Linked DNA regions of Arabidopsis thaliana. The protein of the gene in region 2 interacts with the protein of the main gene of each other region in a pairwise test. Each region holds a gene or a part of one and is shown on either strand. Other genes may lie near its edges.

Region 1 (5,378 bases), 2.1 Mb from region 2:
CTTAGACTCCTCTGTTGCGCGATAATAGGATTTTGAGTGAAAGAAAATGTTTCCTTCTTCTTGTACTGTCGTTTTAAGCAATTTTTTCTTAATTTAACTAAACGTAATTATGGCAGAATAAGGTTCTAAGTGAAAACAAGAAATTGTGGTTTTGAAGTTTTTTTTGCCTACTATTATTCATATGAGTCATCATCCTTTTGTTAAATTATACTACCACTTTCTTTTTAGTTCTTAAAATTTTAAATAGTCAGCTCTAAAACTAATTTACTCATGCAAGTTGTTCTCTTCTTTTGATCAAAAGTCCACTTCTCCCTTTTTTTTTGGTTTAATACTCAAATTCTCCCTTTTTGTTTTATTTTCGTCTTTTTTTTTCTTTTTTTTTTAATATAGTACTATTTACGTAACCATAATTTGTCATCGGAAATAAAAAGATTAAGACAACTGAATTTTGTAATGTTTTGAAGATAATATTGCACATTTTGCTACATTAGTGTCAATCTCGTTTATTTTTCAACGAATCGTTAAAAAAAACAAATATAATAGTAAAAATCGATAATAGTAATCATCATAGCAGCAACATTTAAGAATAATAACATAACAAGTCTTTAGGTATATAAAACCCATATTCATAAAGTAGAAAACACCAATACAACTTGCTTGTGAAGGAGACGAACTCAAACTTCACAAGTCATTATTCATAAGAACTTAATAAGTTTTTTAAAAAGAAAGAACAAAAACAGAAAGCTCGAAAATAGTTATTAGGAAGAAAAATTCTGCTAGATTCCCTCGTCCTTCTCGTCCTCGCTGCTGCAGCTATTGTTGCTGCTCCATTCACACTTCAAGGTAGATCTAGGCGATCCACAGTACTTACCAAGCTTCTCAAACGTCTGATACATCACTGTTCCACTCTCTTCTCCTAGAGACTCAAATGTCCTCTCTCTGCACCCATAGTCTTCCAAGTCTACAGTAATCTCTGGCTTGTATGAGTTCGCTCCAACGCTCGAGTGCACAGCTACAGAGAATTGCTTGGGCTCGAAGCAAGAGAGAACCCTTGTCACCAGCTGGCTAAGGTCAAGGGTGTTGAAGTCGTAACCCACAGCTTCGAAGCTAGCGTAGCTAAACCCATCTTCAGGGGTCACATGGATCGTGGAGATTGCATCCCCTTCAATTGAGTTCATAGAGTAGCCGCAGGGCTCGAATTCAAAGTCGCAGATCTCAGACTTGGGAAGGATCTTTCTGATTCCAGAGTTATCAGTCATTGACCCAGTCTTGTCAGCTTCATCCTTGTAGAAGACAGCAGCTTTCTCTCTGTCCAGACCAGTCATGCACATCTCGAGAGTGTAGACATTGTTGTTGCAGTTGCTGGAGTCCTGGGCAGAGGCAGCATAGACATGCCATTTCTTAGTCTCATCATCATTGCCCATCAAGTAGGCTACGCTGTTCAAGCCCAGCTGAGTAAAGTGCCCATCAAGAACAGAGACTTCTTCAGAGAAGCTGCGGTGAGGAAAAGGCTGGCCTCCGGGGCAGAGGAAGGAGCCGCGAGTGTACTTCACAGACTTGACACTCAGAGAGAGCTCACCAGCCAGCTTTAGAAGTGGTGGGATAGAGAGGAGGAGCTTAGTGGTACCGCAAGTCTTGATGATGACTTTGTAGGGGTAGACAAAGAAGCTGGACTCAGAGAGTACGTAAGAGTCCAATTGATCGTTGGAGAGAGATGAAACGATCGTGCATGCAGCAGGTGTAAGAATTTCATCAAGCTGGGACTTGGTCAGAGCACGGAGTCCCAGTCCCTTGGAGTCTTGAAAGATGCTTGGCTCAAAGAAAGTCACCTCGAGCCGTTTCTCGTAACCTTCGAAACCGATTGCAGATAAGGCCATCTCGCCTTGTTGTGTGAGCGACAGGACTTGTAGTAGGAGGAGAGAACGATTGGATCCGGGAACCAGCAGAAAAGGAGCTTTGAAAGAAGAAAATTATAAACTGGAAAGTAAAGAAAGCTATAACTATATTATGAAGATCGGTGCACGCTGGTACTCAGGATGGCCTCTTGGAGCACTGCAACAAAAAGCAAAACATAGTTAAGAAGAGACTACATAATGGATACCATAGAGATTGAAGAAATCAGATATAGCATTATAGAGGAAACTCACGTTTGAGTAGACAGAAGATTTGAATTTCTTGATTCCACCGTTTGGACGAACGTCTTCAATGCTGTAACCGAGGGGAGCTTCGTAAAATAAGGAACTACTACTGCTGGACTTCTTTTTACCACCTTTCGACTCCATCATAATCTCATTCACGCTTTTCTGTATTAGACAAAACAAATCCAAAGGAAAAAGATCAGATGAAAAATAAAAATACCAGGTATTCAAAAGATCACACAACAATGTTTATCAGGACAATACGAATCTATAAACCATAAGAACCATTCAATTTTCAATTGTATATCTCGAATGATGAGTAGAAACCAATTATTATAGCAGATCCATAACTAAAAACAAAGCCTAAGACAATAGGCAATCATACATGTAACAAAACAAAAATCGAAACCAAGTCGTTGGTTTCAGGTATAAGTCAACCTAACCATGCATGCGAATATCAATCTCTTATACCAAAACCTAGGACGATAAGAACGATGTCTATCTAACCTAGCTAGGCTAATGAATCAATCGAAGAACGACGTCAATCGTGAGAGATACTTACATATATAAATGAAGATCGATAGATCAAGATCGCGAATTATGAACTCCTTGTTTCCAGAAACCCCTTTCTCCAGATATCAAACGAAACCCTCAAACCTGAAAAAAACCCAGAATTCACCGATTAAAAAACATTATCCTCAACGACGGAACAGATCTACAGAGAGAAAACGCAGATCTACAATTCAAAAAAGAGACTCACCAGATAGAGATGATTCAGAAAACCGCAAGACTTTCGAGAAAAGAGAAAACCCTAAATTTGAGAGAAACGATTAAGTTGATGATTTGGTAATGATGAAGCAATGAGATGCGTTCGTGAGGAGGAAAAGAAAGGTAGAAAGAGTGCCTTTATATAAGTACTAGGGTTATGCTCCCTGACAATTACGTATTTGACCTTATACCTTAGCGTTTATATCGCGTGAAGCTATCTGAGCCGTTGATTATTTCCAATTTGCCGTTCCGAGGTTTTTACCCAAATTACCCTTCAACCATTTACTTACGTTGGAATCGGTAGGTGCGAGCATCTCCATTCCTGACCGCAGATAAATAGCCCCAACTATTTTAACAAATTTGCTTTTTCCTTTCGCCGCAAGTAGAAATTATTTTAATTTTAGAGATTTGTTTCTTTATTATTTTTTGACATTATCTTTTGCGGAACAACAAAATATAAAACAGAGATGGGCCAACACGCTATATTAACCAATCAAAGATTGACACGTGTTTAGAAGATACGTGTGCCGTTGAAGCGGATAACTCGAGGCGAGCTGTCACGGTAGCGTAGCCGTGGGGCCTAAAAGAATCAAATTCTATTTCTCAAAGGCTCTCAACTGCTCCACTACATGACAAAATTGGGCCTCCCCGTGACTCACTCATGACTCATGTCCACCATTTGTCAAAAATCAACAAATAAAATGTATCAAAATTATAACCAATCACTATTGACCAGTGTGTAATTATTTATTCCAAATCTTTTTTGTTCAACCATAAGTCGTATTTAAAATTCTGAGATTTTGGACTAGTTTGGTACCATGAACCTTAAAGAATAAAAATACCTTTAAACAATATGATTTACTTTTCACATTAGTGATATCTCTCTAGGAACACTGGTCTCTCTCTCTATCTATACATCAGCTGGAGCATGCCTTCTTCTTTTCCACGAAATTGCTAAAAACAATCAGAGAGCTTCTGATAAGAAATTCCCACCCAACTTGACAATATGATGAAAAAAGAATATATTCCAACAAGAAAAGATAAGATGAGAAAACGAATTCGAATCCAACTTCTGGTTCAGGTTATTGCCAACCGGATTTCCTACGGTTGAACCGGTTTGGCATTAGTCTTCTGATACTCCAGTGTCAGTTCTTCCAAACGCTTTGATACCTGCCATGAACAAACAAAAAAACACAGTTGTTGATTATTCAAGAAAGCTGAGAGCGTTTTTCAAGTATACCATCAGATTTAACAACATCAATGCCCTCAATTAATCACTACAAGTAAGATTAAATTATCTATCAAGTTAATCATGTCGATATCGAGAATCTGATTCTTTCATATCTCTCCCGAGTTATCATGGAAATTTTACCAGAACATTAACTTTTCGAAAACGAAAGAGAACCTTGATAGAGTAAGCCAATGGAAGCAAGGTATCCGGATTCATTGCGTCTTCCGGGAAAGTTTTCAGAGCATGTATTAGTTTCTCAAACGGTAACTTTACCTGCAGAGTTAATTTTTTTAAAAAGGTTGGTTTTGCGAAATTAACTTACAGCTCGTAAATAAACCTCACTCACCAACTCATCTTGGCAATACTTGAGCAATGCTAAGCCCACTTTGAACACGATTTTAACACCCTTAAGAAACAATGACCATAGAAGATAACAGAATGAAACTTTGATCACAACAAACGTTAAAGAGATTTTAAGGATGCGCATTTAGTTACCTCGGAGAGAAACACATCCCATATCCGTAGAGCCAAAGGGAAAGGAAATGAGTATGAGAAGACGGTGATGAACCATTGACTTGCATACATACTCGGATTAATCATTTCTTGAGTAAAATGTTCTCCGAGCTTCGGAATTAGCTCTTTTACCAAGCTTTCTAACTGAAACAGGTATTGCTGTACAAGGGGAAGCCCTGCCTACATTACACACAAACCACTGACTCTTAAGAAATAGATGAAATGTGCGGCAAAGACATTACCTTGTTAAATCAAGGAACGAACTATACAGTAGCCTTTTAAATTGGATAGTTGATTCATAATCAATGACGAAAAACTCTCACCAGAATCGTTATAAACTTAATCTACAGAGAACTTTTTTAAAACGTGGTCACAAACTCTAACTCACGCAGAAAATACTCTTTTTGTTTCATTCAACTATACAACATTTTCTTGCAATCTTCTAATAATTAAAAGACTCACATGATACAGTCCTTCCATTGGAGCATGAACAGCTCCTTTAAGTAATGCAACTAATAACCAGAAGGCATCTTCTTCGCTCATATAGAGAAGCAACAAACCGGCTATAAACCCCATCCCCTGCAGATATTAGAATCATGAATCTTAGTCCCATACTAAAAGAAAGAAAAATGGGAAACAAGGGAAATATCTAGAGGATAGACCTGAACATATCCGACATCTCTGTCATAAACTGAGTATGCCTTAAGGACATTGTACAAGGATCTTTG
Region 2 (3,933 bases):
GTTTCAACTACTTCTTAGGGTTTATCATCACTTACGTTACGTATGTATTGTTTTATTCGTCTTCCTCTATGATATGTTATGTTCTTAGTTGAATTCCTTAATACTCATTGTGTGTTGCTTATCTCGTCCGCAGGTTTTCGAGTCTAAAAGCATGGCTTCTAAGAGGATTTCAAGGGAACTGAGGGATATGCAGAGACATCCTCCAGCAAACTGTAGCGCAGGTAATCTCCCTTTTCTTGGCTGATTTTGACTGATAGATTCACACTAAAAACACTTTTAGGGTTTGATATATGTCACACTTTTATTTCATCAATCCACATTATATGTTTCTGAGTTTTTTTTGGTAACGCTATGATTTGTTAGACTCTCTTTGGTTCTGTTATATATATGTACTCTGCATGAACCTTTTTTTTTTTTTTTTTTGTATTCGAGAAAACTCGTTAAACCTTTGCCTGGTACGATTAAGAATATCCAGAGGTTTAGCTTGCTTTTATTTCAAGTGTCTCCTTTTGTACTTCTTATTTATTCTGCCAATTTGTCTCTGTTCTATAAGAAGTATCACTTGATCATGCAGGTTTTATTGTCTTTTTCGATGAATAAATGGGTCTGATTGCAACGTCTTTCTTATAGGTCCTGTGGCTGAGGAGGACATATTCCATTGGCAAGCAACTATCATGGGACCGCATGACAGTCCGTATTCCGGAGGCGTATTTACGGTTTCTATTGATTTCTCTTCGGATTATCCTTTCAAGCCACCAAAGGTGTTGTGTTTTTTCAACACTAATTTAATCATCTGATGTGTAATGAAAATCTATGATCATCAGGCTTATTAGCGAGTGTACGATTTTGCAGGTGAATTTCAAGACTAAGGTGTACCACCCAAACATCGACAGCAAAGGAAGCATTTGCCTTGACATATTGAAAGAGCAATGGAGTCCTGCTCCTACCACATCCAAGGTTTGAGTTTTGTCTCTCTACTACTATTTTTTACCAAAGTCATGTTCTGTAAAAAAAAAACTAGTATATTGGTGAACTTTGTGCGAGTGATATTGATGGTGTGGAATTATATAGGTTTTGTTGTCGATTTGCTCGCTGCTGACTGACCCGAACCCAAATGATCCTCTTGTGCCGGAGATAGCTCATCTCTACAAGGTAGATAAATCAAAATACGAGTCAACTGCACAAAAATGGACACAGAAGTACGCGATGGGATGATAAGACAAAGGTGGTCTAGACAAGGAAAGGATGTCTTACTTGGCAATGGAAATAGAAAACTGAAGAAAAAACATTTACCTTTTCTGTTTTTTGGTTAGTTTTAGCAATGGCTGCTATGATGTGACGATCATAATCGAAAGACTTTTTTAGCTGCTCTTTTTTACTTGTCTTCAGTGCTCTGATCATATTCTTATTTTTCCAATTCCATTTTAATTGGAAACTGCTATTGCAACAACCTCGTAAATTTTTTTCTTTTTTAAACTATAGAATCGTTTTAAGTCTTTACCTAAATCAATAATCTTTAATCCTCTTTAGTATTTTTTTTTTGAGCATCAACTAAACACTATGGCAAAGTCTTCAACCGTATATAATAAAGTCAATTCTTTAATAAACAATGGTACTGCAGAATTTGAGTTGCCGACAGAAAAAAAAAAGTACCGCAAATCTAAAGAATCTGTTGAAAGTACGGTTAATAATAAACAAAACAGATTTTTTATTATTTACACGAATTGATAGCTAATAAAGAGTGAGAAAAAAAACAAAAAAAAAGTGGAATGGACAGAGAGGAGGAGGGTAGAGTGGTAAATTTAGTAAGAAGGGGAAATTGGGTCTGACGCGGTCATAATGGGAGGGAGCTTCTTCTCCAATCAACGATTCTTCTAATTTGGTCTCTTCCCTCAAACACGACGACGGCGTTTTCTTTCATTTCTTCTCTCGACAATCCCTAACATCACCAGAAGAACACAAACACAATTCTTTTTAGGTACAACACAAATTCTCTTCTTCCTTCTTCGCTCTAAAATTTTCAACACATATTTTTTATGATGCTTTTAAGCGTCTGATCGTATCCGATCTCTCTTAAAGGTCCGTTTTTGCCTTTTCAGATTCTCTTAATCCGTTTCTTCTTCTCAATTTTCGTTTGTTCGTTATTAATCCTTTTCGCAATTCGATTAGCTGAAAGTTTCCCCCTTTTTTCTCCAGGGAATTGCAAAAAAAAAATCGATTTTCTATTTTCAGGCAAATTCGAATTTCCAGGACATTCAAATGGGTAGCTGCGTCTCTAAGGTATTGAAAGAAACGAAACCCTTTTGTTTGGTTTTTGGTTTTTGTCGGATTCTGTATTTGTTGGTTATGCGATGATAATGTAAAAAAATCCCTTCTTGTTTTGCTACATAGGGTAAAGGAGACGATGATTCCGTCCATAACGTCGAGTTTTCCGGTGGCAATGTTCATCTGATTACAACAAAAGAGAGTTGGGATGACAAATTAGCTGAAGCTGATCGTGATGGCAAAATCGTAATTTTTCCCTTTTTGATATTTCTCTTCTCTCATGTAGTGTTGTGTTTGTTTCTCAATCTCATGCTAATATCTTCTCTTCTCTTGAAACAGGTGGTTGCAAACTTCAGTGCGACATGGTGTGGTCCGTGTAAAATTGTGGCACCATTTTTCATCGAGCTCTCAGAGAAACATTCTTCTCTTATGTTCCTTCTTGTAGATGTTGATGAACTCAGCGTAAGTAACTCATACTCTGTATACCCATACATAGTTTCCCTTGTCTCTCTTTCAAAATCTTAAAATATGTTTGTGTGACTTTGTGCAGGATTTTAGCTCATCATGGGACATTAAGGCGACACCAACCTTCTTCTTCCTAAAGAATGGACAACAAATAGGCAAGCTTGTTGGAGCAAACAAACCGGAGCTACAGAAGAAGGTTACTTCTATCATTGATTCTGTGCCTGAAAGTCCTCAACGGCCTTGACTCTTGACTCTCGCAGCCTTGTGTTCTGAGGTCTGTTCTTGTGTCTTCTTCTTGACGGTGATCAATTGTTGTAATATGCAAAAAAAAAGGTGTGAAAGGTCACCAAAAACACTTGAGTTAGATCATCCTGTTTGATATAATAATATGCATCTTTTTCATTCAAATTACTCATTATATTATTGAATCCTCGCAATCTAAGTGTGCAAAGCAATAAGGCTCTCTCTAATTTCATTTCTTCTTTATTATCATTCTTTCACTAATGAGGAAACAATCATCCAATGCCTTTGTTTCTTGATGACATTTTGAATTTCGTTGCCACCATTGATTTCTCCTTTGTATACTTTCACAAATCTCTCAAGCAGAGATCGGGGTGAGGAGCCTGAAGTGGCCTTATGGCTAGGGATAGGGCTTGGACCGTTCCTAAACCAGATAGAACCTTAACATTACCATGACTTGATGCTAAAATATAGACCAAAAGTAAAACATACATTTGCCATCGTTAAGTTAGTCTTCTTGTTATAGTTAGTTTTTTATTATTCTGTAATTAGTCTGAGTGGATGCTAAAATATTACAAATAATTCTTCTTCAAAACAAAACCGCGAGTGAGTGTATCGATCCTAACATCTAGAGAGAGCTTTCGGCAATGGATAAGCTGCCAAGAAGAAATGATATTTAGGTAAGTTTGGCGTTTATTCAAGTCTTCACAATTAAAGATTCAGAAGAACCACTTTGACTTTGACTATGACTTGAACTTTACTCAGAGTGAAACTCGAATAATAAAACGAATGGGTCAACGGTCAATATTAGCTGCTCTGGTTCAATAATTTACAATTTGTTCTCAATCAAAACAATTCCTTCACAATATAAGGTTTTAAAAATTCGATTATATTTTATTATATAAAATAAGGTTTTAAAAATTATTAGCTCACAAAATTATAACACGTGGTAAATCTTAAGAT

The links.
Region 1: the proteins of TH9 (region 2) and SAMDC interact in a two-hybrid assay, tested with the Arabidopsis thaliana proteins (one large-scale study listed by BioGRID).

What each region holds. Positions count from the first base shown.
Region 1 is NC_003074.8:506,722-512,099, reverse strand, and holds SAMDC (S-adenosylmethionine decarboxylase), read right to left. Parts: upstream 3,215-5,378; 5' UTR 3,098-3,214; intron 3,005-3,097; exon of another isoform or gene 2,950-3,004; 5' UTR 2,899-2,949; exon of another isoform or gene 2,796-2,898; 5' UTR 2,701-2,795; intron 2,304-2,700; 5' UTR 2,148-2,303; intron 2,053-2,147; 5' UTR 1,878-2,052; coding exon 777-1,877; 3' UTR 638-776; downstream 1-637. Other genes in the region: AT3G02460 (Ypt/Rab-GAP domain of gyp1p superfamily protein), read right to left, coding at 4,008-4,076, 4,312-4,410, 4,484-4,543, 4,633-4,830, 5,113-5,229, 5,313-5,378. UniProt on the Arabidopsis thaliana protein: Essential for biosynthesis of the polyamines spermidine and spermine. Essential for polyamine homeostasis, and normal plant embryogenesis, growth and development.
Region 2 is NC_003074.8:2,643,331-2,647,263, forward strand, and holds TH9 (thioredoxin H-type 9), read left to right. Parts: upstream 1-1,747; 5' UTR 1,748-2,079; exon of another isoform or gene 2,080-2,196; 5' UTR 2,197-2,259; coding exon 2,260-2,280; intron 2,281-2,391; coding exon 2,392-2,511; intron 2,512-2,604; coding exon 2,605-2,727; intron 2,728-2,815; coding exon 2,816-2,974; 3' UTR 2,975-3,274; downstream 3,275-3,933. Other genes in the region: UBC12 (ubiquitin-conjugating enzyme 12), read left to right, coding at 152-221, 631-761, 853-957, 1,072-1,215. UniProt on the Arabidopsis thaliana protein: Probable thiol-disulfide oxidoreductase that may play a role in intercellular communication due to its ability to move from cell to cell.